3 linked regions of the Oryctolagus cuniculus genome follow. The protein of the gene in region 2 interacts with the protein of the main gene of each other region in a pairwise test. Links are inferred from orthologs where the notes say so. Each region holds a gene or a part of one and is shown on either strand. Other genes may lie near its edges. The genes, in order: ADGRG7, LDLRAD1 and BNIP3L.

The links.
Region 1: the proteins of LDLRAD1 (region 2) and ADGRG7 interact in binary tests that used the Homo sapiens proteins (3 or more experiments, as listed by UniProt). The two-hybrid records come from large-scale screens. The link is inferred for Oryctolagus cuniculus from reciprocal best matches to the Homo sapiens genes LDLRAD1 and ADGRG7.
Region 3: the proteins of LDLRAD1 (region 2) and BNIP3L interact in binary tests that used the Homo sapiens proteins (3 or more experiments, as listed by UniProt). The two-hybrid records come from large-scale screens. The link is inferred for Oryctolagus cuniculus from reciprocal best matches to the Homo sapiens genes LDLRAD1 and BNIP3L.

Annotation. Positions count from the first base shown.
Region 1 is NC_091435.1:55,234,348-55,237,997, reverse strand, and holds part of ADGRG7 (adhesion G-protein coupled receptor G7), read right to left. Parts: intron 2,958-3,650; coding exon 2,611-2,957; intron 1,560-2,610; coding exon 1,463-1,559; intron 1-1,462. UniProt on the Homo sapiens protein: Orphan receptor.
Region 2 is NC_091438.1:118,979,167-118,982,916, forward strand, and holds the start of LDLRAD1 (low-density lipoprotein receptor class A domain-containing protein 1), read left to right. Parts: upstream 1-1,484; 5' UTR 1,485-3,408; coding exon 3,409-3,429; intron 3,430-3,750.
Region 3 is NC_091433.1:47,850,335-47,853,984, forward strand, and holds part of BNIP3L (BCL2/adenovirus E1B 19 kDa protein-interacting protein 3-like), read right to left. Parts: intron 2,823-3,650; exon of another isoform or gene 2,674-2,822; intron 1,955-2,673; coding exon 1,771-1,954; intron 1-1,770.

The sequences.
Region 1 (3,650 bases), on a different chromosome or scaffold from region 2:
CTTTTTAGGGGAAAAAAAGGATTTATTTAATTACTTAAAAGGTAGTTACAGAGAGAGTTATAGCAATGGCTGGGGCTGGGCCAAGCCTAAGCCAGGAACCAGGAACAGCATCTGGGTCTCCCACATGGATAATGGGCCCAGGCTCTTGGGCCATCTTCTACTGCTTTCCCGGGTGCATTAGCAGGGAGCTGGATTGGAAGTAGTGCAGCCAGAACTGGAACAGGTGCCCATATGGGAGAGAAAGTAGTGTCTAGGAGTATGAAATCCAGCCAGGCCATCAGCCACATGGCCTACAGCTAGGCATGGTCAGTCATGGGAGTGGTAAGTCCTCTGATGCTACAGCCTACCTTTGGAGGTTATTGAACACTTCCAAGTGTTTGGTTTTCATCTGGGTTGGTTTGGGACTTAAGGTAGAATCTGGGGATAAGAATGGTTGGATTTATAAAATGAGAAGGTAGTTTAGTTTAAGGAGCAGTTGCTGACTGGCAGCAAAAAAACATGTAAAGCGTTGAGTACCAGTTCAGTCCAGTTTTCTTCTCTTCCTCCCACATCAAAAGCACACACCATCCAAATACTTTTGTTATTGATGATTAGTTATTTACAATGGAGTCACAGGAACAATTTAGTTTGTGTGGTAAGTTTTCGTTATAATCCCATCAATGTAGAATCAGTATATAGAAGTGACAAATGCATAGTGCTTTTCAAATTATTAAATGTTTTCATTCTTGCTGGACTTCTTATAGTAATCCCAGAATAGGTTTTACTGTTATTGACATTCCTGCTTTTTAAATGAGAAAACTAAGGATTATACAAAATGAGTAATTAGGGATCATACCTATTATGTTTTCAGATATTTCAGACAATGAAAGGAGAAAATTTAAGAAAATAAAGTTCAGATTTAGAAGTTTAGTTGATTATTTGCTTTACAAATGACTTATCTAGGAAATTTCCATGTCACTGCATTAAAAATGATGTGTTCTTTGAGATTTTGTAATGCCCACCTCTAAATGTGACAGTCAAAAGTGAGATGCATATAACATTTGGAATCAACATCACTGAATAGTTATATTCTTTTCTTTTCTTTTATTTTATTTTTTGACAGGCAGAGTGGACAGTGTGAGAGAGAGACAGAGAGAAAGGTCTTCCTTTGCCGTTGGTTCACCCTCCAATGGCCACTGCCGGTGCGCTGCTGATCCGATGGCAGGAGCCAGGTGCTTATCCTGGTCTCCCATGGGGTGCAGGACCCAAGCACTTGGGCCATCCTCTACTGCACTCCCTGGCCACAGCAAAGAGCTGGCCTGGAAGAGGGGCAACCGGAACAGAATCCGGTGCCCCGACCGGGACTAGAACTGGGTGTGCCGGCTCCACAAGGCGGAGGATTAGCCTAGTGAGCCACGGCGCCGGCCTGAATAGTTATATTCTTATCTCAAATAAATTGATATTTTCAAAAATATAAACTCACATTTCCTCTTGCCGGTAGTCTAACTCCCATTGTGAGTCTTTCTTATTCTGAGAATAGATAATTCCCACAGTTATGGCCACTACTATCGCCGGGACACCTGTGTGATAAAAGAGAGGAACAGAATCAATAATTTATCCAAGAATAGGATTAATTACAAAAGACCATTAATGAATTATGCACCTGACCCTTTTCAGGAGGCATTGTTCTTTCCACCATGGATGATATACTACATGATCCTACAGACATAGGTCAAAGTAGATGTAATTTATCTTCTAAATGTTTTCCTTTTCCTTTTATTGTTTGCTGTACATATTTTCTGATTTCTGTGTAACTCTTACCACAATTTCCATTTTTTCCCAAAGAAACCTTTTATTTTTATATGGCTTAGTTCTTCTTTCACTTAAATAAATTTAAATGTGGATATTACTCATATAATTCTTCCTTTGCTGGAACACAATTAATTTTTGAAATAATTTTCTTGAAGAGTTATTCTGGTAGTCTTGTTTTTAGATTTATTGATTCATTTGGAAAGCAGTGTTACCAAGAGGCAGAGGCAGAGGCAGAGGCAGAAGCAGAAGCAAAAAGAGAGATCTTCCATCCACTGCTTAACTCTTTAAATGGTCACCATGGCCGGAGCTCGGCCGATCCGAAGCCAGGAGCCAGGAGCTTCTTCTGGGTCTCCAACCCAGGTGCAGAGGCCCAAGGACTTGGGCCATCTTCTACTGCTTTCCCAGGCCATAGCTGAGAACTGGATTGGAAGTGGAGCAGCCAGGTCTCCAACCAGCGTCCATATAGGATGCCGGCACTGTGGGTGGCAGCTTTATCTGCTACACCACAGTGCTGGCCTGGATAGTCTGTCTTGTAACATTTCTTTAAAGTATGTGGGAAGTTAATACTTGTTGCTTAAATCTCAAATAAAACTAGATGGAAAAAAGATTTAAGTTTGCTGCCCTGTATGTAGTATATCTTCCTTGATCACCAGTTCATCTTTCGCTTTAGTATAAGTTACTAGACATAAAGCATTCTTAGTTATTGCCATAGTGTCTATCTTCCCTCATGCTTGGCCTTGTACTTTTAGGCTTTCATTAGGTGTTTGTTTAAATTATTTCAACAAAATTAAATTCCTAAGTAAAGATGCAAATACTTACCCCATCCAATTAATGAGATGAACAGAATGAAATGTCGAGGAAGGGGCTTCATGGTCCTAATTAGGAGGAAATAGAGCTGTGTAGCACTGAGTCCATTCCAGGCAAATGTCACCAAGAGGAAGTAATGCAGTAAGATAGCAATCGCCGTACATGTGGGATTCGGGATGCCAATAGTGTCTGTTGTGGGTATTTCGTTATTATCAAAGTCAATATCATCGGTGCCACTGTCACTTGTCTGCAAGTTCTTATTGGAGTTTTCAATTCCAAACACAAAAAGGAGGTTGAAAATCAGCATTGATGTGCACAGACTGACCAACACCCAAGTTATTGAAGTTTTTCTGACTTTCCTGAAAATAAATAAATCTAAATAGTTAAATGAAAACAAAACAACTGAAAAAATAAACCCTAATGAAGTTGTGAGGGAACAAGGAATAGTATTATCCAACATAAAAGCAGCTTATAGCCCAGTGGGCCAGCTGGGAAACCTACCTTCCCAATTATACCAGGAAAACATTTTCCCCTCATCTCCTTTCTACAAATTAGTGAGGTAAAGTAGTTGAAGTGTCCTTTCTTAGAACTGTATTCTGATCAAAAGTAGCAGTGAATCTACAAAGATGACTGCAGTGAACTCTAAATACTGGATTTATGCCCTGGTGGCTCTGTCTCATGCATGGCCTATACCATGATTTAACTAATAGAATGCAACAGAAAGCCTGGCAACCAGGATCAGCTTATCTATTAAACATAGCAGTACTTAGGGCCATGGTTTTTTCAGGGCCGATACAATGTTTTAACTTCTTTTAATTCTAAAAGACTAAATAAATAAGTAAATATACTTTTAGGTCAAAGAATATTAGTGTATTCATCTTTATACCAATGCAGTTATAAAATACAATTTTTAATTTTTTATGGAGGAAGTATCCCCGAAAGGCAAAAGTGCCTGGGGCCTGTAAAAGTCTTCTCCCCCAACCCCTACACACACACACACGACTTCCCCTTGGAGCTTCTGGAATTTCTGAGCACTGCAGAAATCCCATGGA
Region 2 (3,750 bases):
GTTGGGGCAGTGGAGACGGGATGCATAAAGACTGAGGCCAGCGAGTCCAGGACTGCGCATGGTTCAGTTAGCTGAGCTACAGCCTACAAAAGCACCGTAATAGATGGGGCGAGATGCGTCAGGTAATAATGGGCTTTACTAGACCTGCGCTGGATTCTGAGTCCAGCAGAGAGGTGTTGGAAGGTTTTAAGCATGCTTCCGCCCCAGTGAAATCCACTTGCCCTCAAGTCCTGTCCTAGGGTCTGACTCCTGGGAGCCCTAAGTTGAAACGCACCCTTCGTCTAGTCTGTCTCCTAGGGAGTGGAAGCAGGCACTGAGGCCCGGGAAGGGGGGTTGCTTGCCCACGTGAGAGCCGGCTGCAGGGCCTGACCAAACCCCGTTTTCCTGGTGCGGGGCTCAGCTGTTTCTCTGTAGCTCCCCGCTTCCTGAGGGCTGCCCCTATGTCTGCCCTCCTCACCCTTGTTCCCAGGGAGTGGGCGTTTTATTTCCCAGTGCAAAAGAAACGGCTGGCCATAGGTGAGCAATCTAGGGGCATCAGAGGCAGGCTTCCAGGGGACCCCAGCCTAGAACCCCTGGGCTGGTTTCTGGAGGAGGACACCTCCCCTTCTCCCTTGGTCTGGGCTCTGGTCCAGAGTGAAACGCTTCTGGGACGATGGTCTTCCTAGCAGGGAGCTAGGCTGCTGGGGAGACTGCAAGTGGGTAGACAGATGGGTCGCTGGGGGGAGGCTGCTGCTGTGGTGCAGCAGGTTAGGCCACCGCCTGCAATGCCGGCATCCCATTGCAGCACCAACAGCAGTTCCCAGTCCTGGCTGCTCCATTTCCAGTCCAGCTCCCTGCTGATGCACCTGGGAAAACAGCAGAAGATGGCCCAAGTATTTGGGCCCCTGCACTCACTTAGGAGACCTGGAAAAAGCTCCTGGCTCCTGGCTTTGTCCTGGCCCACCCAGCCATGGTGGCTATTTGGGGAGTGAACTGGCAGAGGGAAAAGCTCTCTCTCTCTCTCACTCTCTCTCTCTTTCTCTCTTTCTCTGTCACTCTGCCTTTCAAATAAGCAAAATAAATCTTTTTTTTAATTTTAATTTTTTTTATTTTTGACAGGCAGAGTGGACAGTGAGAGAGAGAGACAGAGAGAAAGGTCTTCCTTTGCCGTTGGTTCACCCTCCAATGGCCGCTGTGGCTGGCGCGCTGCGGGCGGCGCACTGCGCTGATTCAATGGCAGGAGCCAGGTACTTATCCTGGTCTCCCATGGGGTGCAGGGCCCTAGGACTTGGGCCATCCTCCACTGCACTCTTGGGCCACAGCAGAGAGCAGGCCTGGAAGAGGGGCAACCGGGACAGAATCCGGCACCCCGACCAGGACTAGAACCTGGTGTGCCGGCGCCGCTAGGTGGAGGATTAGCCACGGCGCCGGCCGAAATAAATCTTTAGTAAGGGATCACTAGAGCCAACAACCTGCCCCTGCCTCATCCCCACCCCCAGCACTGTCTCAGAGAAAACTAGAATGCACTTTGCCATATTTTAATTTTATTTATTTATTTGAGAGGCAAAGAGACACATAGAGACAGACAGGAGAGATCTCCCATCTGCTGATTCATTCCCCAAATGCCTGTAACAGCTGAAACTGGACTGAGCTGAAACCAAGAGCCAGGAACTCCATCCCAGTCTCCCACGTGGGTGGCAGGACCTAAGCACTTGAGCCACCTCCACCTGCTGCCTCCCAAGGTGGGCACTAGTGGGAAGCTGGAAGGGAGTGGAGCTAGGACTCAAGACCAGGTACTCTGAGACGGGACGCAGGTGTCCTAACCACTAGGCCAACGCCTGCCCCGCCACGTTTCGTGTGCTTGTTTTGTTTTAGCAGTTTTAAGTGAAAGTTGTCTCTAAGATTACTTTACTCTGGCATCTTCCTGAGTGCTGCTTCCTCACATTTGCCCTTCCCCTGTCAGACTCGGTGAGACCTGGCTTTGCGCTCCAGGATCCTTTTACGTGCTGTGCAAAGAGCGTGCTTTCAAGCTGAGAGGCCGCCCACTGCCAGCGCCATCCCGGTGATTCCGCCAGGGCCACCTCTGCCACCTGTCCAGGTAAGAACAAAAGAGGCTGCCTCCTGGTGGCTCTGTGCCGCAGGGCAGGGGAGGGGTGGCTTCCTCCTGGGCCGGGTTCCTGAGAGGCTGCACCTGGGGACCTGTTTGACGTCCAGCGCTGGGCTCTGACCACTCCTGAGGACACTGTGCTCCCTGGGACCTGTGACACTCAGAGGTCGGAGGGGGTAGAAAGAAAAAAAAAGGATCTTTTTTGTGGTCTTTGTCCAGTTTCAAGCCAGCAGGAACCACCCTGTTGGATGACTGCCACAAGGACAGGTGTGCCTGTGGCCTCTCCCGCCGCACCTGTTCAGTGTGGATGGCAGATTTTTTCCAGTAGCCCCGGGCCATGCTGCCCATCTGCCGGCCCTCACGGTGTCCTCGCACCTCTCGCACTGCGCCTCCTTTCACACGGGCGTGGAGCACACCTTGAGCTTCTGTCTCAGCTCTCCCGGACGGGGGAGACTCGGCCTTCCTGCATTGCAATGCCTCCTTCAGCCACAGAAGGGTTGAGCTTCATCTCAGCCACAAATGGGAAAAGCCCCTGCCACATTTTTAAAGAAAATGATGAAAAATTACAGTTGCTTTATAATTTAGTGGGAAATGCATATTCTTTTTAAAAGATTTATTTATTTACTTGAAAGGCAGAGTATGTGTGTGTGAGAGAGAGAGAGACTGTCCATCCGCTGGTTCACTCCCCAAATGTCCCCCACAGCCAGAGCTGTGGTGATCCGAAGCCAGGAGCCTCCTCCGGGTCTCCCATGTGGGTACAGGAGCCCTAGGACTTGGGTCATCCTCTGCTGCTTTCCCAGGCCATAGCAGAGAGCTGGACTGGAAGTGGAGCAGCCAGGACTCAAACCGGTGCCCATGTGGGATGCCACAGGCGACCACTTTACCTACTATGCCAAAGCACCAGCCCTGAATTATCTATTTAATTAAATGACCCTTCTTATTGGCCACTGACACAGTGACCTGTGCCATGACTGGCTGCCTCTTCACACGCTGAGGGCTGCCGGCTCCCAGTCTCACCGCAGGCCCTGCAAAATCGCTGGGCTTAAGTCTCACCCCTCTCACCTGCTGTGTGACTTGGGCCAGTCTCCCTCTCCGAATCTCGGCTCTGCTTGCGGTCTGTAAGAGGGGAATGAGGATTGCAGCCTTGGCGTGTTGCTCTTGGACTGCAGAGTGGGGAGAGGCCTGGCGCATCAGGACCCTGCTCTCCTTTCCTCTGCCTGGGAGGGCGTGGCCAGGGCGAGGCCCCTCCTCCAGGCTGCCCTGGTGACAAGGGAGGGAACCTGCCCTGTATCCCTGGAGACTGGACGCTGAGAGCTGGAAACATGAACAAGGTCTTCCCCCAGGTAAGTGCGGCCCTGCGTAGCTCCTGATGCAGGAAGCAAACTCAGGTGAGGGCAGGAAAGGGGCCAGGTTAATACTGCACCTGCCCCAGCCACTGAGGTGAGTCAGCTCCCACCCTGCCCCAGGGGCTCACTCCCAGGTATCAGGCCCCACACGTGACACAACTGGACAGTTCAATGATGAACTGGGAGGAAGCCGGGGTGCAGGTGCACAGGGGCCAGGGGAGTGGATGATGTTAGGAGATCAGGGAAAGCCTCGCTGGGGAGCTGCCTGGGCAGGTTTGAGGGGCGGATTGTGGCAGGCAGGCAGTGGAAGAAATGGCG
Region 3 (3,650 bases), on a different chromosome or scaffold from region 2:
CAATGGCAAGGCTCGTGCACCTGAAGGTGTAATAAGAGCCTTATAAACAGGCCATGGCAAGCAGAAAACTTCAGAAAGCCAAACACCCTCTCAGCAAGTTCCATAAAGCAAATCTAACACAAAGCTTCACTCTCAAAGACACACTAGTGCTTGGTTACTGGAATCAATGGCAAGCTGTTCAGAAAAGGACCATCTGCTCCGGTTCTGCTTATGACAAGAGCCAGGTAGCAGAGAAAGAAGTCAGGGATGGCACGGGGGTGGTGCGGTGCCATCGGCCAACAAACCTTCCTTGGTAATGTTAACAGTGCAGTGTCATGGTACCAAAAATTTTTAAATGTCATTTAAAATACCTAGTCTTTCTGAAAAGAAGAAAAGATTTTGCTGAAAAATGACTTTCATTCTTGTGCATACATCTGTCTATACCCTTAACTCTTTCACCATAAGCAGTGGAATTAGTTTCCCTCTTGAGTCAAATATAGAAAAATGAGGCCTAAAATAAAGCTTTGGCATCTGAGGAAACAGAATGGCCTTCAAGAACACCACCTTTATAGACCATGGTTGGTGCTCCCACTGTGAATACTGCTACAGCATGACTCAACTTTACTGTGTGTCTACTACATACCAGCACTATCATCAAAGGTATGAAGAGGAAGCATGAACCCTGCCTTCCGAGGCCTTACCATCCATAAGGGAAAACAGATCCAGAGGTCACTGTAATTCAAGGAAGAATGCGATTTGGGAAAAGAAAGCAAGAGAGATCAATTCTATAATTTAATAGCCAATGAATTTTAAACTGATAAATAGGGGCCAGCGTTGTGGCACAGCAAGTAAAGCCACTGCCGGCAACACCAGCATCCCACATGGGTGCCAGTTCTTAGCCTAGCTGCTCCATTTCCAATCCAGCTTATGTCCTGGGAAAGCAGTAGAAAATGTCCTGAGTTCTTGGGCCCTGCACCCATGCGAGAGACCAAGAGGCAGCTCCTGGCTCTGGTCCAGCCCTGGTGTAGCTTTGGTCTGTCATGTGCAGTATGGTGAACTCAGCCCTAGCTGTTGTGGCCATTTGGGGAGTAAACCAGTGGATGAAGATCTCTCTCTCTCTATCTCTGTTAACTGTGTCTTTCGAATACATTTTAAAAAATAAACCTTTTGGCTGGCACTGCGGCTCACTAGGCTAATCCTCCGCCTTGCGGCGCCGGCACACCCGGTTCTAGTCCTGGTCGGGGCGCCGGGTTCTGTCCCGGTTGCCCCTCTTCCAGGCCAGCTCTCTGCTGTGGCCAGGGAGTGCAGTGGAGGATGGCCCAAGTGCTTGGGCCCTGCACCCCATGGGAGACCAGGAGAAGCACCTGGCTCCTGCCATCGGATCAGCGCGGTGCGCCGGCCGCAGCGCGCCAGCCGCGGCGGCCATTGGAGGGTGAACCAACGGCAAAAGGAAGACCTTTCTCTCTGTCTCTCTCTCTCACTGTCCACTCTGCCTGTCAAAACAAACAAACAAACAAACAAACAAAAAACAACCCTTTTAAAAAATAATAATAAATGATGAATATCCAAAAATCACAAAATCTGATTAAGAAAAACAAGTTAATCTAGGGGACACAACAGTGGGCATGAAATTTCCTGCTAGTCAGCTGTCTGGTTTAAACACACAGGCTATAATCAGTCAGGAGGCGAATTTTGTCAAGTGAGGACTTCAAGCTAACTGAGTTTCTTCTCATCCGAGTTAGCTTTATACCTTCTGTTCTTGAGTTCCATGGAAACCTGGCTCTCGCTCACCTGTCGCAGTGGGAGCTGCCTCTGGAGCTGCTCTGTCCCGATTCATGCTGCGCATCCAACAGAATCTTCTCCATGTCTCCATTGTGGATGGAGGACGAGGAAGGCACGTGCTCCAGGCCCCCGTTTTTCCCATTGCCATTATCATTGCCATTGCTGCTGTTCATTGGTAGCTCCACCCAGGAACCTGTGGGACAAGTCAGATAACTGAAGTGAACCACAGCGGAACCGAAATCTGTCATGTGCACACAGATGTGAATATGGTGAACTCAGATAAAAAGTCTGACTCCTTCCAACCAAAGGCAAAAGTATTCCGAAGGAAATAAACAAGAAGCAATTAAGTCTAAAATCCATATTGTTTTATTCTTGAAGTAGTAGCTCATGTAGTCAGAATGAAACTGGAAGTCTAAAACTATTATCTTAGAAAACACATCTTTCAGCCAATTTTCTCTCTGGTTAAAGCTTAGTTCATATATAGTCAACACTTTACTGAACATCTTGAGGTTGCTTTTTCTAAAAAAAAAAAAAAATAGTTATTTTATTACCAGACAGGCTACTTACCTTTATTGGGATAGTTTTTTACACACATTCTATAGTTAACCTCAGATATCTGTACCTGCTCTACAAAATAAACACAACTTAGAAAAAACAAAGTTCAGCCAAATAGGCTAACAAATACATCCTAATTAGCACAAATTAGAAGTTCCAGAGAAGGAACCTAAATACAATCACAAAAATGCCAATTTGTGTACAAATTTATCTGGAGCATGAAATTAATGCAGCTGGTCCTTAAAATCAGGTGGTGATGCTAAAAATTCTAGGAAAAACTTTAGCTCTAGCCCACAAATTAGCTTCTTCCTTTCCTTTAGCCTTCACCCTTTCTCCTTTTTTACACACTTAACATACCTTGTAAACTTATCTCTTCTTTCTCTCCCACGGGTTCCTACTTTGTAGAGTTTTCATTAAGCCTTGTCGGTTTGCAGGTGACACGATCGTACTTCAACTTAGGCTGACACAAAAGTTTTCTTGGGTGAGCATGCAAAGGGGGCGGAGCCACAGAAAAAGGGGATGTGGCACTGGTGAGGTGCATAGCTTAAAAATAACTATTGGCCCAGTGAGTTTGCTGAACACATTAGGGTGCTTTAATTAATTAATTTATTTTTTTGACAGGCAGAGTGGACAGTGAGAGAGAGAGAGAGACAGAGAGAAAGGTCTTCCTTTACCATTGGTTCACCCTCCAATAAGAATTTATTTACTTATTTGAGAGGTAGAGTTATAGACAGAGAGAGGGGGAGACAGAGAAAAAGGTCTTCCATTTGGTTCACTCCTTAAATGGACACAACGGTTGGAGCTGTGCAGAACTGTAGCCAGGAGCTTCTGGGTCCCCCATGCAGGTGCAGGGGTCCAAGCACTTGGGCCATCTACTGCTTTCCCAGGCCATAAGCAGAAAGCTGGATCAGAAGAGGAACAGCCAGGACACGAACTGCTGGTCATATGGGATGCTAGTGCCACAAGTGGAGGCTTAGCCTACTCCTAATTTCTTTTAAAATTATTTTTATTTCTTATTGTAAAACAGATAAAGAAAGTAAGTTCCCATGTGCTGGTTCACTCCCCTAAATGCTTGCCATGCCTGGAACTAGACCTAGCAGAAGCCAGAGGACAGGAACTCAACCTAGGCCCCCACATGAGTGGCAGGGACTAAACCAATTGAGCCATCACTGCTGCCGGCCACACGTCAGAGGGAAGCTGGAGTTGAGAACCAGACTGAACACCAAACCCAGGTACTCTAAAATGGGACATAGCCAAATGGCTGCCCGTGCTTTTTTTAGTAAGAACTGTAACAGTACCCCAAAAAAGAGATAGCAGTACCTTTTTTCATACAT